Linked DNA regions of Oryctolagus cuniculus. The protein of the gene in region 2 purifies or fractionates together with the protein of the main gene of each other region. This does not show direct contact. Links are inferred from orthologs where the notes say so. Each region holds a gene or a part of one and is shown on either strand. Other genes may lie near its edges.

Region 1 (15,798 bases), on a different chromosome or scaffold from region 2:
CCACAGATCCAGTCTCAACTGTCCCAATGGGGCAGGGAGGAAAGGTGGCCGCTGGGTTGTTTTTTTTTTTTTTTTTTTCTTTTTGGTAATAAAAAAATTTCTTGGTTTAGGCGAAATACTCTGTGCAACCGCAGTACCGAGGGGAGCCCTGCCCCCCCACCCCTCCCCTTCCTTTGCCTCCTGTGGGGGAGCGAGGGGAAGGAGGAATTTCTGGGCGGGGGCGAGTGTGGGAGAGGGAGAAGAGCCATCTCCCATCCCCCACAAACGTGGAAGAAACAACCCGGAAGGAAGGCCAAGGAAGGCCGGCGGGAGGGGCCCGCCCGCTGCAGTCTGGCCCACGCGCTCGCTCGCGCCCGCCGGCCCCGCGGCCGGTTAAAGCTTCAGCTCGTTGGCTATTTTAGAGGCAATGTTTTTGAAGGCCATGGAGGTGCCCGATATCCGCTTGAAGCGGACCCCGTTGAGCGAGAGCCGCGGCAGTTTGCACACCTCCATCTCCCACTGCACGAAGTCCTCGTGGCCCGGCGCGCCGTGCACGCACAGCAGCATGTACTTCTCGTGCAGCTCGCTCTGGCAGCTGTTGGCGTCCAGCACCTTGCGGATCTCCCGCATCATCTCGTTGGGCTCCATGGAGCTCGTGGTCTTCATGCTCCACGTGAAGCGCAGCGAGCGCGGCTTGGCCTCCCGGAACTCCTCCTTGTCCTTGTCGTTGCCGCCGCCGCCCACCATGTGAGGTCTGCGGGGAGCAGGGGCCGTGTGAGGCGGGCGGCCGAGGCACCCCACCCACGGGAGAGCCACCCTGGCGGGCAGACCCTGGCCCAGAGAACAGCGGGGGGAGCAGCGCAGGCGCACGAGCCGGAAGAGGGAGCCCCGAGACCCTGGCTGAGGGGCGCAGGACTTCGCTGGACCAGGAGAGCCAGGGAAGGGGCGCTGGGCACTGCCTCCCGGAAGCAGCGGCGCCGAGGGCACTCATCTGCTGCCCCCACGGCCCACCCCAGGGCTCCAATTTCCAGACCTAATGTAGCGGGGCTCGGGAAAGGGAGGCCCGGAGAGGGTGGAGACAGGGCAGAGCCACCGGAGGAAGAGCCGGGTGGCAGAGGAAGAGACGGACAGGAGGCTTGTGGCAAGCCCAGTGGCCCGGGCAGGGCCAGTGCTGGCTCCGGCCCTCTCACCTGAGCGTCTCCACTCGGTCTTTGCTTTCAGGTTCATTCAGGTTCCTCAAAAAACAGAGCGAGGGAGAGTTTAGTGCTGGGTCTCTCGCTCCTTCCACCACCACAGACCCAGGTGAGGGTGGGTCTGGGAAGGTGCTGCCCGCCGGTGGGCAGGACCTGAGCCAAAGGCCACCTGGCCACATCTGCGGGCCAACAAGGCTCTGCAGCACCTCCCACTGGCAGCCTGACAGTCCCTTTCCAGGAGGGAGCCCAGCATAGCCTGCCCCTCCCACACTCCAGAGCAGTGGGCTGGGGAGGAGGAGCCTCTGCTGGGGCGGGGTCCACGGGGCACCCAGAGCAAAGGCGCTGGGTGCAGCATGAGGCGGGCTCCCCACTGGCCCCAGCCAGCGCTCACGTGAGCGTTCGTGCCAACACACGGGGGTCTTGGACTGCAACGTTTCCAACTCTGGGAGAGCGGGGGTCTCGGGGACATGGAAGCCTCTCAGGAGGCTTCCAGTGCCAAGGCCTGGAGGTGTATGGAGGAGGCCTGGGGGTGGGTGCCGGCTGCCGCGTGGCTGTGACTCCCCAGCGGCCGGGCCGCCTGCCTGCAGGAGGAGGACGGGGCAGGGGGAGAGGTCTGGCCCCGCTGAGCGGCTTCTCCAGCTCCTGACTGCAAGATGGGTGCTGGGAGCCGGGAAATCGGGGAATGCGGAAGGGGGAGAGGACGGCAGCAGCACATGTAAAAGGGACACAGAAACACGAGAGACACACACGATGCCAACAAGTGCACTGCGAGCGGGGAGCCCGGCGGTGCAGGGGAAGGGGCCCTGGCAGCTCTCCCTGGGCCTCCAGCAGGGCAAGCCCCCATCGTGGCCCCATGGCACAAGCACCAGCCATGCAGTGGAGGGCTGGGGGGCACGGAGCGGAGAGTGGGGAAAGCCTGAAGATCCTGTCTGGTTTCTCCACCAGCTGGGGCACCCATGTGCCTTCTGGGCGCCCCAGCCCCAGAGCGGGGCCAGGCTGACACCTGGGGAACCAGGGTCCCGAGCCACCTTCCACCTGCAACTTGGCATTGGGCCCACCCAGGCCTGCAGAGAGGATGAGGAGAAGGCCGGGCTGAAGGGCCAGGAAGGGCGGAGCCTCAGTGAGGGTGCCGTTCTCCCCGTCTTGCCGTGACCAGGCGTGACCAGGCGAGGAGTGGCCCCTGCCCTAGAGCTGAAGGCCGCATCCAGGGAAAACGGCCAGCAGGAGAGGTTCCAGTCACCGCGGTGCTGGTGCTGCGGCCGGCCCCTGTGTCGGCCAGGTTGGGGGGGGGGCTGCTTCTGCAGAGCTGCCAGAAGGGGGTGCTGTGCCCCACTTGTGAAGTCAAGGCTCCCTGGGCAGGCCTGGAGGAGTCAGACCCAAGCTGGGGAACCCGCAGTCGCTCCCGCCCCAGCCTTTCCATCCCAGAGGCCAGGGGGAAGAAGCCACACAGCCCTCAAGTTCAGGAAGCCCAGGAGACCCCGAACGAGAGACCGTCCCAGATGCACTTGTAACCCGGTGCAGCCTCCTCGTAGCGCATGCACATGGCAGGGGAAGGGCCAGGGGGAACCCAGTGCTGTGACCCAAACCTGGGGGCGGGGTGAGGGGAGACAATCTTAAAGGGAGAATCCCCGAGGAGGTCTCCCTGGCTTGAAGACAGCACCACGGTGTCTGAGGAAGGGCCCTCCCTTTCAAAGCCATTCGCCCCGAGGGCCATGTGCTCAGAGCCCACTGTCTGAGGGCAGGCTTGGTGCTGACCCGCGGCCACACCAGGCTTCGTCCCTTTAAGATGGCAGAGGAGGACCACACAGACACGTTAGCAGATGGCCACGAGCCAGAACCAGAAAAGGGGAGTTAGTGATGGAGCAGGACACGGGACACACACACACACAGCGGGCTCAACGCCTACCTTCTGGCAAACCTGAAAGACAGATTTCTAAAAAAAACAAACAAAAAAAAGACAAAATAAAAAAAGAAATAAAAAAAACCCAACAAGACGGTGTGTGGATAAGCAGGTGGGGAGTGGGCTTTACAGGTTCAAAGGTCGCCCCCAGTTTTGGAAGAGCCGCTCAGCGAGACTAGAGTCCCAGACTTCCAGGTCTGCGCCCTGACACGAGGCAGGCAGGAGCGGCAGGCAAGCCTGCTCTCTCACAGCCCCTGGCCTTCCAGAACTGCCAGTCCAGGGGGGACACGGGGCACCCAGGAGGCCAGCTGGCTGGACGCACCTCAAGGTGTGCCTCTGGTGACTGGGGACTCACGATGTGAGACATTCCCTGACGAGACCCCCACCGGGACCCAACACAGGAAGGCCTCATCAGCTTTGGGGCTGGGGGCGGGGAGGCTCCCACAGGTCCCACAGGCTGTTTCATTTAGGGCCTCCCTCCCGGGAGCCCCTGAAGAACTGGCTGCAGTGGAGGGGAGTGACTGGAGTCAGACACGAGCAATTGTGGAGGCGGGGAGAGGGGGTCAAAGGGGGCCAGATGAGAGACCAGGAAAAATTTCCTCCCTGGCCCAGCCTGGCTTAGGCCTCATGACTTTGCAGCTGCGTCACCAAATATAAGTTTCCATGGGAACCCAGGAGAGAAGAGGGGGCTTTTATTTTAGCATCTGAGTTCACACTCTCCTGGAGAGGAGGCGGCATGGGCCATCTGCTGGGGCCAGAGAATGAGGGGTGCCTATGGGGAGTTGGGGAGAGACCTAAGAGGACGGGCCTGGGCACACAAGGCGTTGACAACGACCCCATTTCCTAGACTTCACGGGGCCTCTTTTAACCCCAGGACCCAAGCCCAGCTCTAGGCATCCCCACCCCTGAGCAAACAGGAAGGCCTGGCCTCAGCCTCTCTGCCACCCTGCGCTCCCTGCTCACCTGCGTACAAACTTGGAGGTGAACTTGCTGAAGATGCTCCCAGAGGCCCCCCGCCGGCCCTGGCTGTGGCCAGAGGGAGAAGCTGGGGTCACACCGTAGGGCAAATTCTGCTGGTCCCGCACTTGCCGGAGCTGCCCAGCATGGAAGGTGCTTCGACTGGACACACCCCGGGGGAAATTCGTTCGGTCTGGGGCTCCACCACTGCTGCTGATGTTGTGGGCGGAGGGGGAGGCGACAGGGACACGCTGGGGGGCTGTGCTGTGGGGAGAGTCGGGGTAAGGGGAACACATCAGGGCACAGGACAGCCGTTCGCCACTGGGCACCTGCAGCGCCCCGTGGTGGGGCGGGGGTGCTACGGCAGAGGCAGCCATCACGGAGGACACAGAAGGAAGGGTGTGACCACTGAGGACGGCGGCAGGGAGGAAGGCTCCCGGAGGAGGAAGACGAAGGACGGGGGCGGGGGGGGGGCAGGGAATGACCCGTGTGTGCAGAGCAGCGCAGGCTGCAGAGCTGGCTCCCTCAACTCTCAAGGGGACAGTGGGGACCAACCCTCAGGACGCCCCCAGGATGCTGACCATCCCCGGGTCCCTGAGGAAGCCCAGGCAGGCTCAGAACAAAGCAGCCTCCCTCGGAGCCGCAGGCCTGCTTCCCGCACAACTGTGCTGAGGGGAGACCCGCGCAAGAGGGACACGGATGCTCTTTTCTGTGCCTTCCACTTCCTGGCTGCGGGGGCCAGAGCCGGGCCCTGTGGCTAAGAGGACAAGAAGAGAGCAGGCCCCCCCGGAAGGAAGTTGCTGGGGGCAGGGGGAGGGCAGCAGGTGCACCAGCTGCCCCAGCACACTTGCCTGGGCCGCGGCACCTCACAGTTACTCTCCGTGGGGGGCAGCCCAGAGGCCTTGTTGGGGTGCACGGAGGCCGACATGGATTTCTGGTGCTGGCGGGGCCGGGCCGCAGAGACTGCGGCAGAAGCAGAAGCCGTGGAGGCCCGGGACCCTGGCATGGTTAGGCTAGGAGACAAAAGCAGCGAAGAGGCCTGGGTTAGGGGGTGGGCGAGGGCTGAACGCCCGGATTAGGAAGCAAGGGCAGGGAAGGGCCAGAGCTGGGGATGGCAGTGGGGTACGGGTCAGGCCCGGGGAGCAGTGAAGGGGCGTCAGTCAGATTTGAGGATCGTGCAGGTGGGGCGTGGAGGGAAGGGGAGGAAGCGGCGAGGGAGGCCAGAGCCTGGGAAGAGGAACTGGAAGGAGAGGTGACAGGAAGCACTGCCTCCGGCTGCCTTGGTCTCCTAGGGAGTCTAAGGTCCAGGTGTCTCTTCTACAGGAGGAGTGCAGTGTTGCTAAGAACTGTCAACAGGCGCAGAAGAGGGGGCGCCCAGCACACAAGAAATGCACACGGTCAAGGTCAGGGGCACGCTGCAGCCACCCTCAACGGGTACACCCCTGAGATGGGCTGTCTCTTGGTTCTGCCCTGGTCTGGAGCCCCAAAGACAAAGCCTCAGGCGCTGACGCATGGAGTGGGCAGCAGCCACGCCCCGGCTGCCGTCAAGAAGCACAAAGACTGTGGAGATGACCACTGGGAGCCCCCACTCGGTAAACTACGAGGAGCGGTCGGAGGAGGAAGGGGAGGAGATGGCGTGGAGCAGGGCAGGGAAGGTGGACAGCCAGACGGAACAGAGCCAGGACAGGACTCCAGGGAGCGGGGGCAACGCTCGGGCGGGGGCGGAGACGACGCTGCTGACAAACTTCACCGCCGGAGAGGGGCTGCCGAGGAGCGTGGCGGGCAGGCCCAGGCAGCTCACCTGTCTTTGCCGTTCTGGATGGAGGCCTGGCCGAGGCTAGCCCTCTCCAAAAGCGGGGAGTTCCTGCTTCGATTTGTGCTGGCGGAGAGGACGCTGTTCTGTGGGGAACGAAGGGAAGAGCTGCTCTACAGTCAGGCTCATGCAGGGCTCCCCGCCACCTTCGCCTCTGGCAGGCGCCACGGTCAGATGGGACTCTGCTCCCCTCTTGGGGCTGCGCTTTCTACAGTGAGCAAAAGTGGCCACCAAAGGGATGAGGTCTTGGATTCAAGAGCTGCTAGGGGTGAGGACTGTGGCACGGTACATTAAGCCGCAGTCTGTGGCACCGGCATCCCATATTGGAGTGCCAGTTCAAGTCCCGGTCCAGCTCCTTGCTGGTCCGCTGGGGAAAGCAGCAAAGGATGGCTCACGTACTGAGGCCCCCGCCACCCACGTGGGAAACCTGGATGCAGTTCCAGGCTCCTGGCTTTGGCCTGGCCCAGCCCCAGCCGTTGCAGCCATTTGGGGAGTGAACCAGCAGATGAAAAATCTCCGTCTCTCCCTCTCTCTCTGCCACTCTGCCTTTCAAATAAATAAATCTTTAAAAACAAACAAACAAACAAAAAACCAAAAACAAATAAAGAAAAGAGCTGCTTGGGGAGGGGAGGCAGTGGGGAGGACAGGAAGGGGGGCCTGGGGCTGATGGGCGTGGCTCACCGTGGAGGGGGTGGGGGTGGTCTTCTTCCTCTCCAGGCCGGGCAGGGGGCTGGCAGGCACTTTGGCTGTGCTGCTGGCCTTCCGCCCTGGCTCCCGGTCTTCCTCAGGCCTCTTATTCTCGGCATTGTTGCTCTGAGTCTTCTTGGAGTAGGAATTGGAGGTGGGAATGGCAGGACCAGCTGCAGGACCAGAGGGACCGGGGGTGGGTGGGTGAGGCGGAGTGCGGAGTGCCGGTCCGCTTGCAGGGCTCCCCTGTGCCTGCGGGCAGCTCTGCCTCCCCACTTCACAGGGGCTGAGGAAGGCTGAGGGACTTGCCCACAGCCGTGCTCCCAAGTGGCTAAGCTGGTACAGAGGCTCAGCCGTGTGCCTCTAAACCTGCGGGAGTACAGCCTTTGCTGCAGAGGGCGAGTCCTACTTACCAGCCCCAAGGTGCTTACCCTGGTCACTGAAGCGCCGCTGCTTGGGGTTGGCCGAGACACTGCGCTGTACCTTGTGGGAGGGGGAGGGGGCACTGCTATTGGTCAGATCAGCCGAAGGCCGGGGCTTCAAGGTGATGGTGTCACCTTCCAGCTGCAAGCACAGAGAACATGGCTTCAAGGGTGGGCAGAGGGCTTGTGGTGATCTTCCTGGGTGGACTCATGTTCACGTCCCACCCTAGTCCAGCACACACACACACACACACACACAGCCCAGGCTCCCATGGGACGTCACTCACAAGACCAACCAGTACCTACCCATACCTCCTCCATCCCAGAGACACCTGTGCCCTGGCACAGAACCTGACAACAGACAGACACAGCCAAGGACAGCACCCAGAAAGACTCCCATCCTTGACAGAGACACACATGCCCAAACCCTGGGAGACACTAACACCCAGGAGAACACACGTCAGACCCAGAGCTGCCCCTTGCCCACACACAGCGATGTGGGCCTGAACCGAGAGCGGGGGCCACCATGGCCACCAGCAGGGTGGGGACACATGGATGCTGGACCAAGCCCAAAGGGGCAGAAGAACAATCACAGAGCTGCCAGACCTGCAGACAGGACGAACACACAGACAGACAAGACACAGCCAGACACAGTCACAGGCAGAAGCAACACACAGGCTTCAGCGTCCTGTTAGACACAGAAACCTCCCCAAACCCAGAGCAGCACCCATCCGACAGACAGAATCACAGACACCCGGACTGACACAGAACTGCCAATCAGAGGGTCTGGCCCACGCGAATCAACTCACCCACATGGAGCCCAGACTGGGCCCAACCCCAAGCCCACCAGCTCTTACCCAGCCCTGAAGGAGATCAGTGAGAGGCCAGAGGGCCTCAGACAGCAAAGCTGACGCTTAGAGGTGGCCAGCAGAGAGCACACCTACTGGAGAGGCGCATCTTCCCGACCGGTGCTAAGAGCATGGGGTGCTACCGATGCCGGGTCAGGGTCAGGGAGAGGGCGGGGAGCACTAACCTCAGAGCTCTTGTAGCCCAGGAGCAGGTAGGTGGCCATCACCTCGTTGTACTTCTGGCCCACCAGCGAGTCCTGGATCTCTTCCCGTGTGTAGCCCATGGACACCATCAACTCTGCACGGGGGACACACAGTTAAGGCTGCTCCTGACCCCCGGTAGCCGCAGCCTCGCGGCCCAGCACGGCCTCACCTGTCCGCCGGGGGTCCTTGTAGTCAGGAAGGGGCTCCACGTAAGGCTTCAGCTCGTCGTCCTCGTGACCCACGTTCATCCAACGGTCTTTCATGATTTGCTGGGAGCAAAGGGAGGGAGAAAGGGCAGGGGGAGGACACTCAGCTTGGGGGTTCCCCTGGGAACCCCGGGACCTCCAGCCAGTGGCCTCCGGGCTGCTCACCTCTAAAGTGCCTCTCTTGCTGGGATTAAGAATGAGAAATTTCTTCAGCAGGTTTTCACAGTCCGTGGACATGTAGAACGGAATTCGGTATTTTCCTCTCAGCACCCGCTCCCGCAGCTCCTGTAGGAGCACCCAGGATTAGCAAAGTTCACCCATCTCAAGGCCAAGGGAAGAAACCCACCACCCAGGACCCTGGGAGCGTGACACTGGCCATGCTGCCAGCAACAAAAGCTGGTAGAAGGCAGAGAGGCTGGCACAGAGAGGCAGAGGAGCCAAAGACGCTCTGGCATGGCCAGGGAACGCCAGGCAATGTACCCTTTCCCTCGGGAAGGAACTGTCAGGCGCCCGTAACTGCTACCACCTTAGTAAACCCTTCTCAGAAGCTCTGGCTTCGGAAAAATGTACACAGGCACAGGTGAGGGGTCCGGGGAAGACCAGAGGCCAAGAGGAAATGCGAAGTAGTGAGCATGTGCTAAGCTCGCACTGCACTCCACCTTGAGGTTCTGTCCGTCAAAAGGCAGGGACCCGCTGACCAGTGTGTACAGGATGACCCCCAGGCTCCATACGTCCACCTCGGGTCCGTCGTATTTTTTGCCCTGGAAGAGTTCTGGGGCAGCGTAAGGGGGACTGCCACAGAAAGTGTCCAGCTTGTTCCCAAAAGTGAACTCGTTGCTAAAGCCAAAGTCTGCAATCTTGATATTCATATCAGCATCCAAGAGTAGGTTTTCTGCCTGGGAGGTAAGAGGGAGAACATCAGGGGGGTGCACCACACTGAGGCGCTGCGTAGGGAGGAGCTGAGGGACACAAGGAAATGACCGGCAAGTTATCTTCTCTCTGCCCACTCCAGGCAGGGCTCCCATGAGCGAGAACAGGCTGGGCAGGAGGAAGGCGTGCAGGCCACTCCTCACTCAGGCAGCCGCAGCAGAGCTGGGATCTGCAGGCTCAGGGCCCTGAGCAGTGTGCGAAGCCTCTGCGCCAGGCCCAGGTTAACCACGTCATGTCTGCAAGGGCGGGGCAGTCACGAAACACAGGCGGCCTCAAACTGGAAGCCCTCAGCCACAGAGGAGGATGTGCGGGCCTGCAGGAGATGCACCTACGGACACGCTACATCTTCCCCTTCGCCAGCCCCGAGGATGCCGGGAGACCAGGAGAACCTGGGTGGCCCTGCCATGCCCTGCACTGCCAACTGGAGTGGGAGCCCCAGCCCAGCTGCGAGGCTCCTATCAGAAGCACTCCTAGGGACTTCCTGCTCAACTGGTCTGACTGTTACAGCCAGGTGAGGCACCGACACCACCCCATGTCCGAGCACCTGGCTTTGAGTCCTGGCTCTGGTTCCTGATGCCAGCTTTTCGTTAACGCGCACTCTGGGAGGCAGCAGTCGATGGCTCCCGTACCTGGGCCCTGCCACTCAAGTGAGAAGCCTGGAACACGTTAACTCCCAGCTTTGGCTTGGCCCAAGCCTGGCCTTGTGGCATTTGGGGAGTGAACAACGGTGATGGGAGCCTGCCTTCAAATAAACAAATTTGTGTGTGTGTGTGTGTGTGAATAACTGGCGGGGGTTCCCGTCAACTCTCGGGCCCTGAGCATTACTGACAAGCCAGCCTGCACTCAGAGGCACAGGAAGCAGCGTGCACCTCACCTTCAGGTCTCTGTGGACAATGAACTTCTGGTGACAGTACTGCACAGCAGACACTATCTGGAAGGAGGAAGAAGGTCAGCCTGGTGCCCGATGGAGCAAAGACCGCGACACCGAAGCGCCCAGCCTGGGGCCCGATGGAGCGAAGACCGCGACACCGAAGCGCCCAGCAGGAGCCGCCCCCCCCCCCATGCCGAGGGCAGGGGAGGTGGGGCAGTGACAGCACGGAGGGAGGCGCACCCACCTGGCGGAACTTGGCTCGAGCCTCTTTTTCTTTCATCCGGCCGTGAGCTACCAGGTAATCAAACACCTCTCCTGGGAGAGACGGGGTGGGGACGGGTCAGGGCTGGGAAGGCTGGGGGAGAGGGCACCCACCAGGAAGACGCAGCTCCACACCTACCGCCACTAGCATACTCCATGACGAGATAGAGGGTTTTCTCCGTCTCAATCACTTCAAATAATTTAACTGCAAAAGAAAAGGCCAGGCGCTGCATCAGAGCAGCAGCAGGAGCCCGTGTTGAGCTCTGAGGCGTACAGGGCATCCGAGGGGCGGAGGCCCCCTCCCCAGGACCACCTCCTCTCACCCCTGCCAAACTACTCAGCTCAGCTCAGTGTCGGCCAGAGATGCAGCTGCCTCCGAGCTGAGCTCCCCCGGAAGCATCCCTGGCAACTCAGGACTCCAGAGGGCCCCGCGCGCCGGGAGGAAGTGGGGCCTGGCCGGAGGAGGAGGTGCGGCTGGTTCTCACCTATGTTGGGATGATTCAAAACCTTCATAATTCTCACTTCGCGGAACAGCTGGAAAGCAAGACACCAGGGGTCAGGCTTGCCCCGCTGCACAGGGCCCTGCCAGGCTGCTTTCCCAGAACCAAAGCAGGCAGGGAAGAGGGCAGAAGGGGAAACAGGAAAGGAAGCAGGCTGGCGCCTGGCAGAGCGCGGGCCCGCCCAGCTCAGGGGTGAAACGTGCGCCTCCAGCCTGGTCTGGGGTGGGGGGTTCCAAAGGGGACCCCATCATGGTTTTTTGTTTTCCCTCGTTGTATGATGCACACAAGGCACAGCGCTCTGTACTAAGGACTGGGCCTTTCTCTCCTGGGCCCGTGAGGAAGGAGCCACTCCTATATATAGCTGATGCCAATTTTAATCAAATCCACCTCCACACACTCACGCTGTCTTTGTGAAACAGAAATCAGGGGCTCCCAACCACACATTTCCATGAAGAAAGATGACAGAAATGAGTCCTTTCCCTTGGCGGGGGCCAGAGACCTGAAAGGTGAGGTTTCTGTGACTCCCAGGCCTCGCACCCACACTAACAGCAGAAGGGAGGGATACAGCGTCTGGAAGGGCGGACCCACGTTTCCCCCTCAGGGTGTCCAGGAGCTCGTGTAAGCTGGACGAAGGGCAGCAGCAGCGTTCCTATGCCCAGCAGCCGCACCTGCCGGAGCCCCCGCTGGAGCCTGGGTTCCAGCTTCCTTCCCGGCTCCACAGCTACTCTGGATGAAGAGGCAGAAGGTCCTGCACACCATGTGAGGGCGCAGCACCGAATCGGGCCAGAGGAGCTGCAGGGCGCCCCCTTGGCTTGCAGGGGGCATTGCCTGGGAGACCCTGGGTTTTCTGGGTTCCTCTAGAACCCAGAGGGGCTAACTTCCTCAGAGACACCTTTTAGAGATCCTCGCCGGGGCGAGAGTTAAACAGTGCTTTGGCCGGAGTTGGATGGCCTTGGTTCAGCGCGGGTTGTATGTATCCGATGCTGGTGCCTCTGGCCAGTCAGCAAGAAGGAAGCAGCAAAGGAGGCAGGGCTGGCGACCACTGCCGTGCCGCGCTAGGCAGCTCCACGGAGCCGGCGGCCCACCCCAGGGGGCCCGGACTTCTGTGGGGTCAGAGCCAGACTTTCAGGGCAGCCCTCTTCCCCTTCCTCCTGGAAAGCTCCAGGCAGGGAAGCAAGCCTTGGTGATGACAGCAGCGGTTCCCCTGGATCCAGGAAACCTTGAGGGGCCCCAGGGACGACAAAGACAGGGACCCCCTTGCCTCTGGTTGTCCCTCCACTCTCATTTCATAAGCACCTCCCTCATTAACAAGTGGCAGCTCCAGCCCCAAACTCCTGGCATCACCTATCTGTCAGCTCACAGCCTTGCCCTCCGCCCCTCGACTCCCAAAGAAAAATGCACTGGCCACGCGCTGACGAGAGCTGGGTCTTGGTCAGAGGCTGAAAGCCAGGGTCAGCGGGCCACGAAGGCACCAGGGAAATGTGAGTGCCCCCGAGTGGGGTAGGCTTTTGAAGCCACACAGGAGCTGCCTCCGTCCCCCGCAGCCGGGGCCCGGGACAGAGAGCTTCCAGCTCCACAACCACCCGGTCAGTGCCCGGCTACCTCCCTTCTGCAAATCAAAGTCTCCCTTTCCTTTCCCTCTCCTCCCAGGCTGCAACTTCACCGGCAGAGGGCTGTGTTCCCAGCTGGGGGTCTCCCCCCAGCTAGGTAGGACCTCACTTTCCGGCTGTTCAACAAGAAAGGAAAGGAAAGGGAAGTTCATCCTCATCTAGCAAAAACTACACGCAAATGATTCTGACCTCTGGCCACGAGGAGCCTGGAAGTAAAAAAGGAAAACTGGGAGGACCTGTCTTTAATCTGGAAATTAGAGTTCAGCGTCTCAACTCTAGGCTACAATGTGGCTGGCACAGGAGTCGGGGCAGGTCCCTGCTTCCTCTTCTCTTCCCTGCACTTTTAGGGCCACTCCCCGGAATCATTCCGGGTCTTGGAGCAGCTGCATGTATTTGTAGTAATGGCTGCAAACACGTATTTTTGCGTAGGGCTGGGCACAGACCAGAAGGTAGCCAGATGCAGGCAGGAGGTCAGACAGCTGGGCCATGTGGCTGAAAAGGAGCAGAAAAACCTGCGGAGTCAGTGTCTGTGGCCAGGACGCCCACCCAGGAGGGGCCGCCCCGGGGGATCCAATCAAGGCCTCAAGGTGGGAGAGCCGGGGGAGCAGAGGCTGGGGAAGAAGAGGAGCCAGAGGTCTTCACTAGGGGCTCTAAAATATAGTTTGAAAAAGCGTGGACAAGCATACGGTACAACAAATTCGAGAGTCAGGAGAAGGCCCAAATGGAACGGGGACGCCACCAGCCCTGAAGGGAGGTCTGCCAGGGGCCAGCGGCCGCCCGGTGCTTACTTTCTGGAGGCTGGAGGAGTTCAGCTGAGTCTTGTCGATGATCTTCACAGCTACCTGAGCATTAGACAAGAAACAAAAGCACAGACACAGACACCAAGATGACCTCTTTGAGCAGGTGAAAGCCAGGACCCGAAGCTACTTCCTCCTCTATGTGCCTGTTGATCTCACCGCTTTTAGCGCCCTTGTGGGCCTGAAAGGTGGCTGCAGCCCTGGCCCCGCCACGACCTGCTGGCGCGCCACGTCCCCGCCTCAGCGCTCACCTCCTTCCCAGTCAGGATGTGCCGGGCCAGCTTCACCTTGGCGAAGTTGCCCTTGCCGATGGTCTTGAGGAGCCGGTAGTTGCCGATGTGCGGCTGCTCGTCAGCGGAGGGGGCCGAGTTGCGGCCGCGCAGCATGTTGGACTTACTGCTGGGCTTGGAATCCAGGTGTCCCAGGGTGGGCTGCAGGGGAAACAGACACTCCTGTACTCGCCGCCCCCCCAGGCCCCTCACGCCTCGCCTTCAGCACTCTGCGAACAGTGCAAGAGGCCAGGGTGCTAGGGCAGACTCCAAGGGGCTGGGAGGCACGTGAAGGATCACGAGGCAGCGGAAAAGACAGAAGGGGACGAGAAGACAGCCAGTGTTCTCTCCAGAGAGCCGGTGGTGCAAGAACTGAGGCCCAGAGCGTGTCATCCTGGATCCACGGATGCCCTGTGGATGCCAATAGCCCAGCAGCTCCTCGGCCACCTGCAGTAAAGCTGCCGGCGTGACATGACCAGAACTGCCTCAGGGCCCTCCTGCCACCCAGCCCGTCACACCAGTCTGCTGTTCATCACCTGACAGGTGTTTGTCACGTCTCCTAAGGAGCATGGCAGCCCACGAGGGCCGTCCTGTGCCCCTCATCCATGGACCACCCACGCCCCGACTGGCTGGTCAAGGCAGTGGTCTGCCCGGCTCTGCTCTCCTTGGATGCTCCACAGCCCAAGTAAGGCTGCGAGGAAGCAGAAATCACAGCAGGCACTGAACAGGTACAAGACAGCATAAAAAAGGACGTGGTCCAGGAATACACTATAACCACACTTCAAAACGCTTATGGAAAAGGAGAATTAAGAGGAGGTTTATCTTGGCAAAAATACCACAACAAAACAACAAAACAAAACAAAACCACCCTAAACTGAAATCCATGCACAGTTGTTTCCTAAAATCCGTTTTTACAAGAACCTGTGTGTCTGAGGCGCTGTACAGACTCTGTATGGTGCCCATGGCAGGGTGACTGTACGATGCAGCAATTCCACTGCTAGGTGGACGGCAGAGGAGCTGCAAGCACGGTCACACAGCGGCCTGTGTCAACGTCCCGTGCACAGCACCCAGACGCCCATCAGCCAGCGAATGGAGAAACACACAGGGCACGGCAGCCGAGGCAGTGAAGGCGGTGAAGGCCACGTGCCAGGACAGGGCAGGCTCTGGGCTGGCCACCGGGGACCACACATGCTGCAGGATTCCTTTGACGTGAAGTGTCTGGGACAGGCAGATCTACAGGCAGGGAGGAGACCAGCGGCTGTCCAGGGAAGAGAAGGGTAAGGAAGACCTGACGGTGACAACTAAGGGGTGTGGGGTTTCTTTCTGGGGTAACGGGAATGTTTTAAAGTTGCACAGTGATGATTATACAACTCTATGAATTTAATAAAAGCCACTCAACTGCACAGCTTGTTTCTTTACAAGAGAACAAATCTACTTTTATGTATTTACTTAAGAACGTGGAACGTTTTTATGCATCTGTGTGTCACTTGCACGGGACCATGCGTATCTTCCAGCATCATTCCAATCTTAGTCTGTGTGCTGTCGAAGTGAGCGCCACGTCCACTCTGAATGGGTGGACTGGGTGCTACGTGGATTGTATCAATACAGTGCTAAAGGAGGGTCTGCTCTAACTCCTGTCCCGAGATCCAGTTTTCCTCTTTCGAAGAACACCTTGCCACTGCCGCTGTCGCTTGCCACACTGGGACAAACCTGTTGCCAGAGCCTTGCCCCAGGCCATCCAGAGCTGCCCTGAAAGTTTAGGGAGACAGTCTGGATGGTTGCGGTGTGACCAGAGGGGTGTGAGTCAAAGCTCCTTTCGTCATCCCTGCTGGCTATAAGCGAAGCCCTCAAAAGCCAGGAGAAAAGACGGACTTGCTAGGGAACTGTCCAGGGTTCCTTGGCAAAAAGCTCGCTTGCCCAACTAGACGCTTTGCAAACGACAGAAACAGCACGTGAGCACACTGCTCTAACTTCCCCTTCTGCACCGTGCCCACGTGGGGCCTCGGCACAACGGCTGTGGGCAACTTCTCGGTCAGCTGACTGACCCAGACTCCAGAAGCCCACTGCTGGACAAGTGACCCCCGCAGCTGGCTGACTGATGGGGAGGCTCCTGACATCCCAGAACAGTCTCTCCTAACTTCCTTGGGGCTCCAGCTGTCTCTTCCGCCAAGCCCTCACTCCTCCACGCCTCTGCACCTCCTCAGAGTCCCCTTGCTGCTGTCTGTCCACACTGCCCTCTTCCCCACACTCCCTGTAGCTCGCCTAAGCCTGGCTGCTCCCCCAACAGTGTGTGTTAGACAAACAGCTTAAAATGCCTGCTCCTGCCCTCCCAAAGGATCTCAAGGGTCCAT
Region 2 (15,898 bases):
TCTGCTATGGCCTGGGAAAGCCACAGAAGACAGCCCAAGTTTTTGGGCCCCTGTACCCCCGTGGGAAGACCTGAAGGAAGCTCCTGGTTCCTGGCTTCGGATCAGCACAGCTCCGGCCGTTGCGGCCAACTGGGGAGTGAACTAGCGGATAGAAGACCTCTCTCTCTCTCTCTCTCTCTCTCTGTCTCTGTCTCTCTCTCTGTATAACTCTGACTTTCAAAAATAAATCTTAAAAAATTAATTAATTAATTAATTAGTTTTTTAAAAAGGCAGGATTACAGAAAGGGAGGGAGAGTCAGAGACAGAGAGCTATCTTCCAGTCCTGGCACCTCTACTTTTGATCGGCTCCCTACTAAAGCGTCTGGAAAGATAGGGGAAAATAGTACAAATACTTGGGCCCCTGCCACCCATTTGGGAGACCCAGAGCTACTGGTTCCTGTCTTTGGCCTGGTCCATCCCTGGCTGTTGCAGCCATCTGGGCAAGGAACCAGCAGATGGAAGAACTCTCTCTCTGTCTCTCTCCCCTCTCTCCATTTCTTTCTGTTGTCCTGCCTTTCAAATAAATAAATAAATAAATAAACCTTTTAAAAATTAAATTAATAAGTCACATCATGAGTTCTGAAATAAAAGAACATACGAATAATAGTAAAAAAGAGAAGAAAACAAAGACCCTAAAAACCTGATGAAAAGTGGGCAAAAGACATGAACAGAAATTTCACAGCCCAGGAAGCACAAATGGCCAATACACCTATGAAAAGATGCTCAATTGTGCTTGTAATGAGGATAATTCAAATTAAGGGCACAATGAGTTTTATAACCAGTCTCCTGGCAAACTGCAGAAGTCCCAGGATGCTAGCTGCTCAAGAGGAGGAAGCGGGTGGGGACCCCGCTCTCCTGCGCTGAGAAACAAGTGGCCGATACCTTAGAATGATGTTTGCACATTTGCACAGTGCACAGATTCCCCTCGGGGTCATTCTGGCAGATGCGCCCTGAGAGATAGTGTGCAGGTGATTCACAGGGGCGCCTTTCAGAATAGCAGAGTGGAGACCTTCCAAGTATCCCCCACCAGCAGGATGGAATGCAAGTGAATGGAACATAGCCATTTGTCGCATTAAATTAAAAATCATGGCAGAAGAACATACAAGTTAGAGAAAATTTTGTAGAATGTGGCATCATCGTTTTAAAATTCAAAAACAAAAAATATAAGAGAGAGAGAGAGATTATTCGGGAGACATATTTGTGTTAAAACGGTTGCATGGTAAAATTCAAGACCACGGTGGATGCTGGTGGGCAGGAGTGGGAATAAGACAAGGGAGGAGTGGATAAATAAATGCAAATCTGTCCGTGGTGTCCAGCTGCCCGCCCTCTGTGCTAGCAGGCCCCGTGGGGTCTCTAAGATCCTCCTGTGTCCTCTGTGGTCCTTAGGGTTTTGGTTTGCAAGGCCCTGGGCATTCGTGTTAAGATATTATATGAAAAAGACAAGGGGCAAACACAGCCGATGATTAGCGACTCTTGCAAACGGGAGCGCACAGGTCCCATAGAAGAACAACAGAGACTTTTAAAATGAAGCACCCAAGCGGCCAAACAAAATGAAGTTTAGCGCCAGACGTGGCTCCGGACAGGTCACTCTATGGGGCCTGGTCCAGCGTCACGAGTCTCAGTTTTGTTGGCCTGTGGACCTTGCTGGAGTGCTTACTCACGCTTGCTACGAAAGCAAGAAGGAGAAAACAAAACAGGCGAGGAGATCAAGCAGAGGGCTCAGAGATTAGGGGGAGATAGGGCGAGAGTTCGTCACAGCGGTTGAGATGCCCGCATCCCATTGCAGGATGTCTGGGTTGGAGGCTCCGCTCTGCTTCTGACTCCAGCTTCCTGCTAACCGTGCACCTTCCAAGGCAGCAGGTGCTTAGGTCTCTGGGAGACCCAGACTGAGTTTCAGGCTCCATCTGGGGAGTGAACCCTTGGTTGGGAAATTCTCTCTCTCTCTCTCTCTCTCTCTCCTCTGAGTTTCAAATAAATAAATATATAAAAATTTAAAAAATAGGTGAGGAGAGTGATCAGAGCAGGGAGACTTAACAAGAGGGGGAAAGCTGGAGGGAAGAAAGGGAAGGAAGGAGAGGTGTCATCGCAGCGGGGTGGGGGGAGGCAGCCGCAGGTGCAGTGAGGCACAGCGAAGCCGGGAGAAGGGGGACCATTCGCTGGATTCACCAGCCTCCACGCCAGGCACTGCAACCCTTTCCTCATCTAACAATCACACTTTTGAAAGCTAGTTTGACCATTCTGATGTTCAGAAAGATGACATGAATCGCTCAGCTGATAAAAGAAGGATCTAGGGGTCAGCCTGACTCCAAAGTCCTGTTCTTTCTTCCACACTGCACTGGAATGGGGCCGGGGAAACTGCGGATTTGCGGAGGGAGAGGGCAGGCGGTGGGGGTGGGGTGGGGGGGTGAGGGTGGGGGTGGGGGGATGGGGGAGTGGTGGTAAGATGGGTTCTTGCCGCTTCCCTCCCAGGCTCTCCGCCCCCTCCTCAGCCTCTCTCTCCCAAGCCACAGGTGCCCCACCAGTGGGGCTGGGGTTGGACGCTCAGGCCAGCTACAGCATGGGCAGAGGGGAGGCAGCCCCCAGCCCCTGGGCTTGAGGCATCTCCCTGAGCTCAGGGGCCCTCAGCTAGCAGATCCCGTGGGGCGTCTCGGGTCACCATGTGCCCGCCGTGTCCTTGGATCCGGGTTGAGACCCTCACTCCCCGGTTCTGTTCCGGGAAGCCAGAGGCTGGGAAGTCTCTCTCCTTTCTCACGCAGCCCTCCTGTGGTCACTGTTAGAGGACTGCTGTCTTCACTTGATCTTAGCCAAAAGGTCGAGAAGCGATAAGGACTGCTGTCTTTTAGGGTGCCAGATGCCCAGTGTCACCCCACAAATGCTAAGTTCAGCTGGGAAGCGTGGGCCCCACAGAAAGAAGCAGTTATACCAACCAGGGGAACAGGGGCCTTTTAATGAGAGGAACAGAGGTACCCACATCCACATGGACACAGAATGTCTTAGAGAAAGGACAGAGGCTGGATACCAAGAGACAGGGACGGAGCTTACATTACAGACCGGGGCGCGGGGTGGGGAGGGTGGGCAGACAGAGGGGCATACAGGGCAGATTCAGAGCTGGTCAGATGGGGTCGGAGTGGCGCCTGGGCACACAGAGACCCCGCAGCTGGCAGAACAGAAGAGGCACAGAGCGGCGGGACAGGCGCGGGGCAGGAGAAGGGGAGTGAGGCGGTGGCCTCCGTGGGGATCTGTCTGTCCATACCGGGCGGGAGGGCTGGCCACCCTGGTGCTGCAGTCCCTGAAAGACGTCCAGATCCTCTTGGCTCTGCAGTAAGGGGGTCTCCTGGGGGCCTGGGCATCCCGACGCCTGCAGTCGCCTCCTGAAACACACATTGCCACCGCTGCCCTGTGTATCCAGCAGCCAGTGACGGGCACCAGGGAGGAACACCGCCTCGGCCCAGCCCTGCCGCTTGCCCCCAGCCCAGCCCTTCCTGTCGGCAGGCGAGGCACAGCCCAGACCCAAACTGGCGCCTGAGGCCTTGGCAAGAGCTGCAGAACTGGCTGCAGACAAGGGTGCCCCCTGCTGGTCAAATGACAGTACAGCAGTCCAGAAGAAAGCCGGTGTGGATGGGGAGGTGAGGGACAAGCTGTGTTTTCATTCCTTGCCTGGTTTCTGATGCTCACCTTTGCCCTACCCAGCTGAACAGTGCATTCAGAGCCCCTGTTGCCCTCTTCCCAAGGCTAGATGGATAGCACCTTAAAAACCCAAGGCTCAGCTGGCACCACATAAGGGGGTACCCAGGACATCTCTGCAGGCACTGTACCCTCTCCCCCCCATCCTCCTCCGTCACTCTGCAGCCAGCCCTGCCCAGGAGCTAGAAGCCTGGGCCACTCACCAGAGCTAAAGGCACTTGTTCCAGGGGACCCCGGTCAAGGTGGGAAAACAGGGCTCTTCCATGGCTAGCAGGCCTCTGTGGCGACCACTCACACCCAACGCTTCACACCGACCCCCGGATGTTGTTTCTGACTTCCTCTGTCTTTGGGGAAGTGGTCAGGGACTTTCCAGGGGGCGGGGGGAGAGATGGGCCCCTCTCCCCAAGTGTGCTGGCCTGCGCAGAGCTCTGTATCGGAAGAGCTGTCCTCCCCACCCCCCGGCTGCAGCACTGGAGGCTGCCTCAGCCTGGGACCCAGCACACTGGCAGGGATCTGACCGGGAACGAAGGGAGGGGCCAGGGTCACCGGGGAGACACCTGTCTGGAAGGCGGGGCTCAGCCTCCCCAAGGGCCTACAAGAGGCCTGGAAGGACACGGACTCCAGGTCTCCTCAACTAGTGTCATGCTTCAGAGATGGTTGTCTGGGGGCCCAGCATTGTGGCGCAGCAGGTGCAGATCCAGCTCCCAGCTAAGGTGCCTGGGAAAGCAGCGGAAGAGGCCCGAGTGCTTGGGCCCCTGCACCCATGTGGGAGACCCAGACAGAGTTCCAGGCTCCTGGCTTCAGCCCCGCCCTGCCCCAGCCATTGTGGCCATTTGGGGAGTTAACCAGTGCATAGAGGATCTCTCTCTCCCCTTTTTTCCCCCTCTCACTAACTCTATCTTTCAAACACATAAAATAGATCTTAAAAAGATGGTCGTCTCTCTAGGGAGATAGTTGGGGTGCCAAGGACACCGGAATATTACTTCCTAGGCTTGAGGGAAGGAGGGACAGAGGGGACCCTGCGGCTTACCTGCTCAGTGGGTCCTGGCCAGGCCCCCAGCTGTGCCTTTTGAAGGGGTCGTAGCCACGGCTATCGGCCCGGAAAGCCCCCGACCGCCGGAGGGGCACTTCATGGAAGACATTCCTCGTCTCCGGCTCCTTTCCTCCCTTGCCCTCTTCCTCTTCCTCCTCCTCTTCCTCCAGCTGCTCTCTGGATTCCACTGCGGACAGAGAGCGGCGAGTGTGGCCCTGGGGCCCCACGTCTCCATCTGCGAGGAACACTTCTGGGACGGCTCTGTTCATGGGAGGCACGCTCAGGCCGGCCTGTGCCGAGAACAAAGGTGATGGTGAGCAGAGTTCTGGAACGCTGGGCGCTCGGAACCAGCAGGATGTCACAGGCAGGCAGGCCCCGGAGCGCCTGCGTCACCCCTCACTTCACTGAGACACGGAATTGGAGCAGGGCTGGCTCAGGGCCAGAAAGATCTAGACCCTGGGTCTTCTGGCTCCCAGTCCAGGCTCCTTCCTAGATCAAACAGAACAAGCACCTTGGTGGCAAAAAGGCAAGCCAAGGGCAGCAGGTGTTGTTCCAGGCCTTAGTGAGTTCAGTCTAGGGTATGAGCACATGGGTGTGAACACACACACACATGCACACACTCATATGCATCCTTATGTGTGTACACAGGGAAAAGTGATGACCCGGCTGCAGCATGCCGAGTGCTGTGGAAGTCTCCACAGAGGGCTCTGGGCTGCCCACGGAGCCAGCAGAGACTGTGAAAGGAAGTGGAAAGAGGCAGGCAGTCTTGGAGAGCAGCCTGGAGGGCGCGGATTTGGCCAAGGGGAAGATTCTAGGCTGATTCGGGAGGAGGAAGGGAGAGGGTGTTATGATTTCTTCCTTGTAAGCTCTGGTCCTGTGGGAAGTCAGGAAAGCTGTGTGACATATGTCCATGTCACAGAGAGCAGGACTCCAAGCATCAGCCCCATCGCCCCACCCCCTCCCCGGGGGGCCCAGCCCTCACTGCCGCCAGCACTCCACTCCCGGTTTGGTTGGCATCGGGGCTCACCTCGGTGTATCTCAGCGTTAAGAACTCTCAGGGGCTGTTGAAGTTGCAAATGATAAGCCCACTCCAGCAAGCAGCAGCAAGAGCCAGGAGCACCTGGATGGTGCAAAGGCAGGAAGGGAAGTGGCATTTGCTGTGCGCCTCTGGGCACTGGCCCCCATCTACCCCCGGGGGCCGAGGCTCTCCAGCCCGGGGCTGCCGGGATGAGGGTACCAGGCTCCCTGTCTCCCCTACCACTCCCAGCTACTAAAGTGTAAGGAGTGCCCAGGAGGACCAGGAAGCTATGAATCAGTCTGCTCCTCCCAGGCTTTCCCCACGTCGGCCGGGAAGTGCAGGTTGTCAGAGACTTGTCCCTTCCACCTACTTTCCCCTCTCAGCGCACGCTGGCCCCTGGCCCCACCCCATCTGGAGCTGCTGGGAGAGAGTACTTGGGCATCCTCGGGCGACTGTGGGGAGGAAGGGAGAGAGGCGCTCAGGCCCCTGAGGATGGCACATGCCGCTGCCCTCGGGGTGGACCGGAGGTGACAAAAGGAGAGGCCTGGGAAACTGGCCCAGGCCCTGTGCCCACCCATGCCCATCTTCCTGGGAGCGGTGCAGAGGGAACCCCTTGGCCAGCCCCCAGGGGAGATCCTCTGGGAGGGGCAGGGGAGGGGAAGAGCAGGACCTGCAGATGCTCACTGGACACGACAGCGACCCAGGGGCACTGGCAGGGTGTCGCGTGCTCTGGTGTCCTGGGAGCACCGAGAAGCAGAAAGGCCCCTGCGGTGCTGCAGGATGGACTCGGGCACGCCGGGTGCTTCTCGGTGCCTCCTGCCCCTGCCTCAGGAAGAAGGGCGAGCGCCACCGCTGACCTGCACACCGTGCTGTCTCCTGCCCCTCTTCGGCCATCCAGCAGGACCAGCTGGAGTCTGGGCTCCTCTCTAAGGTCAGCCTTTTCCCTGCGTCACTGTCATCCCACTCACCGGCTCCACCCGCTGTAAAGACGACTCAGCGTCGTCCTGTTTTCTGACCTCTGTTCCACATGCAGTAATGCCAACACTTCACACTCTTTCCTTCAAAAGATAAGGCTTATGGGGCTGGTGCGGTGGTCCAGCACGGGTTAAGCCATTGCCTGTGATGCAGCATCCCAAATGGACACCAGTTCTAGTCCCGGCTGCTCTGCTTCCGATCCAGCTCCCTGCTAATGCGCCTGGGAAAGCAGCAGAGGATGGCCCAAGTACCTGGGCCCCTGCTACCCACATGGGAGACCTGAAAAAAACTCCTGGCTCCTGGCTTCAGGCTGGTCGAGCCCTGGCCATTGTGGCCATTTGGGGAGTGAACCAGCAGAAGGAAGATCTCTCTCTGTCTCTCCTTCTCTATCTGTAACTCTTTTTTTTTTTTTTAATTTCTTTTATTTTTTCCTCTTTTTTTGTTTTTGTTGTTTTCTCTCTGTAACTCTGTCATTCAAATAAATACATCTTTTTAAAAAAATAAATAAATAAAAAAAATTTTTTGACAGGCAGAGTGGACAGTGAGAGAGAGAGACAGAGAGAAAGGTCTTCCTTTGCCGTTGGTTCACCCTCCAATGGCCACCGCGGCCGGCGCGCTGCGGCCGGCGCACCGCGCTGATCCAATGGCAGGAGCCAGGAGCCAGGAGCCAGGTGCTTTTCCTGGTCTCCCATGGGGTGCAGGGCCCAAGCACCTGGGCCATCCTCCACTGCACTCCTGGGCCACAGCAGAGGGCTGGCCTGGAAGAGGGGCAACCGGGACAGAATCTGGCGCCCCAACCGGGACTAGAACCCAGTGTGCCGGCGCCACTAGGCGGAGGCCTAGTGAGCCACGGCGCTGGCCAATAAAAATGTTTTTAAAAAGTTCATGGAGGTGCTGGTGCTGTGGCACAATCCTCCGCCTGCGGCGCTGGCATCCCACATGGGCGCCGGTTCTAGCCCTGTCTGCTTCTCTTCCAATCCAGCTCTCTGCTGTGGTCTGGGATAGCAGTAGAAGATGGCCCAGGTCCTTGGGCCCCTGCACCCATGTGGGAGACCGGAAGAGGCTCCTGGCTCCTGGCTTCAGATCGGCATAGCTCCAGCAGTTGTGGCCATTTGGGGAGTGAACCAACGGAAGGAAGACCTTTCTCTCTGTCTCTCCCTCTCACTGTCTGTAACTCCACCTCTCAAATAAGTAAGTAAAATCTTTAAAATAAAAAGTTCATGGAAATGGAATTAAAAATAAGTTGGTGCATTTTGAAATGCATGCACTTTTTTAATAATATGAATTTTCCATGAATTTTTTGAAGGCCCTGCATGTAATGCCTATTTCTGCTTCTATCTGGGGCCCTTTTCTCTCTCTCGATGTGCCCACAATAACAATACTAATAGTGTTTGCTGAGCGCCAAGTGCAAGGCTACTTGCATTGCACACGTTATCAGTTATCAGCAAGTCCATCCACATCCTCACCAGGGAGGCGTTATCATTCCTGTGATTTCACAGGCAAAGCTGAGGCTTAAGAAGGTTGGGCAACATCCCAAGGTCACGTGGCTTTTGAAGGTGGCGGAGCTCGCAGATACGACGCGTTTCAAAGCCCTGCACCACCTTAAAGGAATTACAGTCTCCGAGTTTTGAACAATGGGTGTCTCCCGGTGTTAAAATCCTGTGTTGCTCTTTTTTTTTTTTTTTTTTTTTTTTGACAGGCAGAGTGGACAGTGAGAGAGAGAGACAGAGAGAAAGGTCTTCCTTTGCCGTTGGTTCACCCTCCAATGGCCGCCGCGGCTGGCGCACCGTGCTGATCTGATGGCAGGAGCCAGGAGCCAGGTGCTTTTCCTGGTCTCCCATGGGGTACAGGGCCCAAGCACTTGGGCCATCCTCCACTGCACTCCCTGGCCACAGCAGAGAGCTGGTCTGGAAGAGGGGCAACCAGGACAGAATCCGGCGCCCCGACCGGGACTAGAACCTGGTGTGCCGGCGCCACAAGGCGGAGGATTAGCCTAGTGAGCCGCGGCGCCGGCCTTTTTTTTTTTTTTTTTTTTTTTTTGACAGGCAGAGTGGACAGTGAGAGACAGAGAGAGAGAAAGGTCTTCCTTTTCCGTTGGTTCATCCCCCCAGTGGCTGCTGCAGCCGGCGCACCGCGCTGATCCGAAGCCAGGAGCCAGGTACTTCTCCTGGTCTCCCATGGGGTGCAGGGCCCAAGCACCTGGGCCATCCTCCACTGCACTCCCAGGCCATAGCAGAGAGCTGGCCTGGAAGAGGAGCGACCGGGACAGAATCCGGCACCCCGACCAGGGCTAGAACCCGGTGTGCCGGCGCCGCAAGGCGGAGGATTAGCCTAGTGAGCCGCTGCTCCAGCCTGTGTTGCTCTCCTAAGACTCAGTAGAAGGCCTAAGAAAGTACCGCTGACCAGTGCATTTGGCGAAGGTTAAGCTCTTGGAGGAGGGGACCCGAGACACTGCTGGTCTCGGTAACGGTGGGAAACCATGGGACACAGAGCAGGAAGACAAGTAAGGGACTTCCTAGAGCCCCTTCCCCACCCCCAGCCCCATCTCCAGGGAGCATCTGGTCCCACACCTATTTCGGAACCTCCTATCTCTCAGCAGCGGAAGCAGTGATGTGACATTAAATGTGATCTCATTCAGGAGCTAAATAAAGCTGCTTGTGAGACCCAGCCCGGGCCGCACCCTCGCAGGGTTTCCTGCGGCTTGGGAGCCAGGGGAAGATGGGAGGAAGGCAAGGGAGAGACTGGTGGGAGGGAAGGAGGGGGAGGCCGCTCCGTGGGGGCCCCAGCTGGGATGTCAGGAGATGGAGGAGGGAAGATCTCTGGCAGGGGGTTGAGGCCACCTTGTTAAATCTCATCTCTTTGTTGTTGTTGTTTTTAAAGATTGATTTGTTTGTTTGTTTGAAAGGCAGAGTTACAGAGAGAGGAGGGGAGAGAGAGAGAGAGAGAGAGAGAGAGAGAGAGAGAGATCCTCCATCTGCTGGTTCACTCCCCAAATGGCCACAACAGCGTGGGCTGAGCTAGGCCGAAGCCAGAAGCCAGGAGGCTCGTTTGAGTCTCCCACGTGGGTTCAGGGGCCCAAGCACTAGGCTCATCGTCTACTGCTTTCCCAGGCGCATTAGCAGGGAGCTGGATTGGACGTGGAGCAGCTGGGACTCAAATGGGCACCTATGTGGGATGCCGGCACTGCAGGCAGCAGCTTAACCTGCTGTGCCCCAGCACCGGCTCCTTATTTTGAGAGTGAGAATAAGTAACCCACAGGCCAAGACAGACACAACTGTGGTGGAGACCGGTCATCATGAGTGAGTACCCACAGCAAGAAGCAGCTGTCCTCTGTGGAGAGAAAGGAGGGGACAGAACAGTCTCTGGTAACTTAGAGCAGGGTTCACAGACGCTATGACCCGCGGGGCACATCTTTCCTGCCATCTCTTTTAACTGGTTGGGGAAAAAAAATCATACTTTACAACACAGAAAATTAGATGAGATCAAACTTTGTGTCTAGGGCCAGCGCTGCAGCGTGGTGGGTTAAGCCGCCGCCTGCAGTGCCGGCATTCTATATGGGCGCTGGTTCAAGTCCTGGCTGTTCCACTTCTGATCCAGCTCTCTGCTAATGTGCCTGGGAAAGCAGTGGAAGATAGCCCAAGTGCTCGAGCCTCTGGACCAATGTGGGAGACCCAGAAGAAGCTCCAGGCTCCTGGCCTTGGATTGATGCAACTCTGGCTATTGTGGCCTTTTGGGGAGGCAGCCAGCAGATAGAAGACCTCTCTCTCTCTCCCTCTCTCTGTCTATAACTCTGTTTCTCAAATAAATAAAATCTTTTTTAAAAAATTAAAAAACTTTGTGTCTATAAATAAAGGGTTTTTTTGGAACAAAGCCTTACTCATTCATTTACATATTGTCTTGGGCTGTTTTTGCCTTAGCAGCAAAGCTGGTAGTCGCGACAGGGACCGTATGGCCTGCAAAGCCCAAGATATTTATTATCTGGGTCTTTACCAAAAAAGTTGGCAGGCTCCTGGTCTAGAGCCACTGGGTCTCCAAATCTCAGTGGGGAGGAGAGAGACATCAAGCCTTGCGTTCCCAACAGAGCATTCTGCAGCCAGTGTCGGGGAGGCGGGCACACGGAAGCCCCAGCAGGAGTGGGCATGTGGCCTAGTGCTCAGGCTGTCCATAGCCCCTGTCAGAGTGCCAGCTCCGCTCCCGATCCCTGGCTCCCGCTTCTGCACGTCTTGGAAGGCGGCACACAATGGCTCAAGTGATTGAGTCCCTGCCACCCGCAGGAGACCTGGATTGAGTTCCTGGCTCCCAGCTTTGCCCTGGCCTAGCCCTGGCCATAGTGGACATCTGGTGAATAAACCAGAAGATGGAAACTCTCTGTGTGTCTCTCCTCTCCATCTCTCTCTGTGTAACTCTTTCAAATAAGTAAATCTTAAAAAAAAAAAAAAAGGAAGCAGCTTCCAAAAGAAATTAGATGGAGGTTCCAAAGAAGTTAAATTTGTCCATTCTACTCCCTCTGTTGTCTTAGAAATCTGAAGGAGGTATGGGGCAGGCAGGGCCCTCGGTTATGTTTGCTGCCAGCAACTACTGAGGCTAGGAACTGCAGATAGCAACCAAACAGCGGGCTGGCCCCGCGGCAACACTGCCGGCTCCTTAGCAGCCTGAGGGGCTTCCTGCAACTGTGTCTCGTGTCCACCCCGTGTCCCGTGTCCTGTGCTGGATCCTAAACCTCCTGAGGGTGGGCAACAATGGAGAAGACCCATAAGCCCTGGGCGGCAAGGCCGAGGCCAGCTGACGTGTGTGCTGGCTTCTCCTCCGGGGCTCCTGGCCCTGGTAGCACAGGGTCACAGGAAAGCCTTTGATGGTTCAACGTTTAACCTCCCGTAGCTTCTCCCCTGGGAAGTGAACCATTAATCCGAAGAGAGCTAACACTGAGCTTCTCTTGGCCTCAGCAAAGAAGGCCCTTGGGGGCCCCGTGCCTGCACGCTCCTGCTCACAGGACAGCTCCGTGCACGGCAGCAGCGCCTGAGCTTCTGCCACCTCCCGCCACCCCCACCCCCACCCCCACCCCCGCCAGCTGGAACGCCGGGGTCCTGGAACCCATTCTCTTCTCTGACATGCAGGTCTATGACAAGAAGGCAAAGGCTCCCCTCTGGGACCCATTCATTCAGCAAACATCACTTCAGCATCTCCCAAGTATGAGGCAGAAGAAAGAGGAACCAGAGGTTCTACATGCAAATCCAGGCAGGGGCCAGTGCAGGCGAAAGCCGCTTCCCACATCAGCTTCTGGGTTGAAAGCCATCCACCTGCTCCCAGGGCAGCTACCAAGTTTACTATCAGTTCTCAATTCTGGGTGTTCCACATGGGACAGGCAGTCAGCATCTCCAGCCCCCTAACCCAACCACACCCTGTCTAGGAAGTCAGCAATCAGGCATCTCAAACATCCACCCTAAATCACCCCCACCTCGATGATAAAATCAACCGGCCTCACACGTCAGCCAGGAATTTTTGTTGCCTTGGGCTTCCAAGTCTGATTACCTGCTTTTTGTTTTGTTTTGCTTTGTTTTGGTTATTAAACTAAACCCAGGGACTCTGTCCTGTTCCTTTCAGCAGGACCTGTAGCTGTCTGCCGATTGTACCGGGGCTCGGGACCAGCCTAGCCCGTACTACATGGGGGACAGGGAAGAAGGAGGGCCGGGCCAACCACTCCTCTCGAACCTCCTGCCGGTTTCTTGGCATGAGTTCTGGCTGCTGTGCCAGAGGGTGGGGCAAGAGGGCCTGAGGTTCAAGGGACACACCTGAGAAGACTTTGGCCACCTTAGCCCAAGCATTAACCTGTTAGCTCCCAGAAAATAGCAAGGCAGTGGGCGGAGCAGAGAACCCCCAGTCTGGTGGATGACAATCTGTAAGGCCCTAGCTCTCAGGTGTGAGCTGGTGGCTCTTTATATTCCCCAGTTAGCCCCCAGGGATCAAAGGAACCCACGACAGGATAAGAGGAAGGAAGCCCTGGGAGAATTAGGATGTCAGGCTTTCAAGATTCCAGAGACATCCTTAGTGTCTACACCTCCTGTGTGGGAAAACAAGACCAAAAAGAACATAATGGACTTTGCTATGCCATGAACTTGAATCTGAACCCCAGGCCTACAACTTTTAACTGACACAGTTAGTTATTTAACTTCTCTAAGCCATACATTTACTATAAGGATTCTGGTATGTCAACCCCATAGGATTATGAGGATAAAGAATGAATGTGTATAAAGGGTTTAGCATCATTTGCCAAACAAGCTGTGTTAATTAACCACTGGCCATGGCTGTGGTTCCCTATTTACACAGTGTGTACACACACACACACACACCCTAAGCAAACAAGGCAGCTGGGAGCAGCAGGCTGAGTGGAGAAGAGGGGCTCCTGAAGACACCTGCTCCCGGGGAAGACCCGGCACAGAGAGGAAGGCAACTCACCGGACCCGGGAGAAGTCCCGAAGATGGGGCACCTGTTCCTGCCCTCAGGTGGGGACCTCACTACAGGGACAAGTCCTGTTTCCAGTGGTCCCTTTAAGATTCCAGTCCAGCACCTTGATGGGGGGGCCTCTTTCTTGGTCCTGTGAAGGGAGCTGCTCATGGTCCAGGAGTTTGCATGGGAGACAGGGCACTCATTCCAGCGCAGACCAGTGGCCTCTTCAGCTCCGCTAGCCCTTCCCTTCCCCGCCCTACTTCAAACACCCTGGACAGTGCTGTGCACGGGCCTTTAACCCCTTCAGTGCCAGCGCTCCAGCCTCAGCAGGCCCCGAACAAAGGATGGCCACAGGCTCTGGGAGGCTCGTCCCAGGGAAACAGGTGCAGGAAGCCAAAGTGGGGTCATCCTGAGGGCAGGGAATGTGGGAAGCTGACATCCCAGGGCACTTGCCCCTTCCCTGCAGCAGGGACCAGGGAGAAGCTGGGGCGGGGAGGAGGCCTCTTGGGGAGAGTCCGGGGATGGAAGGCTAACCGGCCAGGTCCTCATGGGGTTAGCAAAGTCCTTTATCCGCTCTCAAATTCAGCTTCAAAGCTGCTTGTTGGTCCCTTTAAGAGGCAGGTTCCAGCAGGACAGGAGGAAAGATTTTTTTTTTTTTTGCGTGTGATGAAAGTTCAGGGAGGAGCCACTGAGGGCAGCTACAGCTGACCAGGCCTGGCCTCGCCTACAGGAACTGGAGTGACCAAGCAACTCCGCACGGCTTGTTGTGGATACAGTCGGTCGGCCTGCAGGGTATTTGACCAACTGCCTCCCCCCACTTCCCTGATAGCAGCTCCCCAGGGTGGGGGCGCTGACTCACCCTCCCTGCTCCCCCCAGGCAGAGGACAGCCAGCGGGGCGAGGTAACTGGTAACAGGAGCCCTCCTCTGCCGGCCAGTGATGTAGTGGAAGGTGCGCGCTGGAGCTGGCAGGTCCTGGCTGGCTCTGCCGACTCACGGGTTACGGGGCCTTGGAGGAGTTAGTCTCCTTCCCACCTCTGTTAGAGCCCGGGTCTCATGTAAGCTCATGTAGATGGTGGCGCAGGAATGCCAGCCCATGGTAGCCGGCATTGAATACACAGGCTGCAGCTTGTGGGGTTAGCTCGAAGAAACCATTCCGCCCTGTCCCTCGGCTCGGTTACACGAGATTAAACTAGGTGATCCTCGGTGGATCATTGCTCTCCAATTCGCATTCCAGGTGAGAGGAAGAGGGCAGCTGCCGCCAGGTGCGCGACCACCGTGTGTAGCCTTTCCTAGCTGGCCGGGCCCATGCTTCTCACTTCCTAAGAACACAGGGAGACGCCTGCCCACCCTGCTGGGGCGGGGCAAGTGGGGCAGGGCGGGGGCGGGGGCCGGGGGCCGGGGAGGGGGGGGACTCTGAAATCCTCCAGTGAAACAAGCTCACCACGGGCCAGGCTCTCCAAGTGGGAGTCATTTATCTGCGGTCCCAGCCCGTGCAACTGGTGGACTTGGGGCTGTACCTGGCCCTCCGGCCCCCATGGCCAGTGCCACCCTGAGCTGCTCTCTCATGAGTTTTAGCCTTGCTGAATTTCACTGACTTGCCCCCGGCTCCCTTTAGTGGAGTCCTGTTTACTTTCTTCAGGTGGAGTTCCAAAACCTAGTATGTAAAGGGATCAGAAACCAGGCACCAGGTTCCTCCTGGTACTGGGGGTGGTGGTGGTGGTGGTGGTAATGGGGTGTGCGTGTGTGTGTGCGTGTGCACCCACGTGTGTGAGCCGATTCCAGCTGAAGGGCTCAAGGGCTGGTCTCCAGGGTGTGGGAGGGCATCTGGCACCTGCTGGCAGCTGGGTTCCTATCTGTGTTGCCTTTCAGGGCGGAGTCTGTTTGGGCTTTGGGCCCTTAATCTCCGGAAAGGAAGCAGGCTCAGGCTGACGTTCCCTGTCCCCTCACAGATCTACACACAAGCAGCGACCAGGGTCCCTGCCTCCCCAGGGGCCTTTCTACTTAGATGCGCAGGGAGACTGTGCCACTCCTCCTATTAAATTACAAGAAGTCAACAGGGTGCAATCCTGAAGCCAATGATTCCAGCGCAGCCTGTCTGTCTATAGATTTTAGAGGCTCTTATATTCTCCACCACCAGCACTTAAGGGGGGTTCGAATTCCACCCCGGCCTCCAAGGATGCCGATCAGAGAGATGAAGTAACTGGTTTTCTCTTGAACTGCCTCCACAATGCTGCTCTTCTCACTTGGGCTCCCCTCCTGGTATCCTTCCCCCTCAACAGGGGCCAGGATGCAGGGAGCGGAGTCCCGCAGAGAAGGGTGCAGTAAAGACCCCCCGGCCTCCGGGGGAGGAGCCCCTCCCAGGTTCAGACGGAGGAAGAAACCAGTCAGCTTCCAGAACTGGGACTTGGAGCCTGTTGTCCACGCCAGAACCCCCACTCCCTCGGGTTCACTGAGTCACATTTCCGGGGGAGCCTGCACGGATGCACCGTGGTGTGTTCCTGCCCCGAGACTAACATCCCACAGTCCGAGGCAAGGTGAACGGGTCCTACGGGCTTCTCTTCTCTTCCCTGCACCTGTTCTCCACCCGCTACCCTTCCGCCCCCACTCTCCTGGGCACATGCGCCTCCTCACCCTCTGACCTGGCCAGTCCCGAGGCGTCCAAGCTGCAGCCCCTGGAAGAGGGATGTGAGTTGGCGGAGGGCG

Evidence for each region.
Region 1: the proteins of ARHGEF2 (region 2) and MARK2 purify together in Homo sapiens (affinity purification with western blotting; 3 studies listed by BioGRID and IntAct, with this or other methods). This does not show direct contact. The link is inferred for Oryctolagus cuniculus from reciprocal best matches to the Homo sapiens genes ARHGEF2 and MARK2.

Annotation. Positions count from the first base shown.
Region 1 is NC_091432.1:7,297,315-7,313,112, forward strand, and holds the end of MARK2 (serine/threonine-protein kinase MARK2), read right to left. Parts: intron 13,610-15,798; coding exon 13,430-13,609; intron 13,224-13,429; coding exon 13,170-13,223; intron 10,806-13,169; coding exon 10,757-10,805; intron 10,477-10,756; coding exon 10,411-10,476; intron 10,326-10,410; coding exon 10,255-10,325; intron 10,071-10,254; coding exon 10,014-10,070; intron 9,106-10,013; coding exon 8,869-9,105; intron 8,495-8,868; coding exon 8,375-8,494; intron 8,273-8,374; coding exon 8,173-8,272; intron 8,098-8,172; coding exon 7,985-8,097; intron 7,094-7,984; coding exon 6,961-7,093; intron 6,703-6,960; coding exon 6,524-6,702; intron 5,929-6,523; coding exon 5,831-5,928; intron 5,043-5,830; coding exon 4,881-5,042; intron 4,294-4,880; coding exon 4,036-4,293; intron 3,106-4,035; coding exon 3,079-3,105; intron 1,215-3,078; coding exon 1,170-1,214; intron 734-1,169; coding exon 373-733; 3' UTR 56-372; downstream 1-55. UniProt on the Homo sapiens protein: Serine/threonine-protein kinase. Involved in cell polarity and microtubule dynamics regulation. Phosphorylates CRTC2/TORC2, DCX, HDAC7, KIF13B, MAP2, MAP4 and RAB11FIP2. Phosphorylates the microtubule-associated protein MAPT/TAU.
Region 2 is NC_091438.1:42,685,724-42,701,621, reverse strand, and holds the start of ARHGEF2 (rho guanine nucleotide exchange factor 2), read right to left. Parts: upstream 13,343-15,898; 5' UTR 13,203-13,342; intron 5,872-13,202; exon of another isoform or gene 5,784-5,871; intron 5,167-5,783; exon of another isoform or gene 5,047-5,166; 5' UTR 5,026-5,046; coding exon 4,754-5,025; intron 4,056-4,753; exon of another isoform or gene 3,927-4,055; intron 3,411-3,926; coding exon 3,293-3,410; intron 1-3,292. UniProt on the Homo sapiens protein: Activates Rho-GTPases by promoting the exchange of GDP for GTP.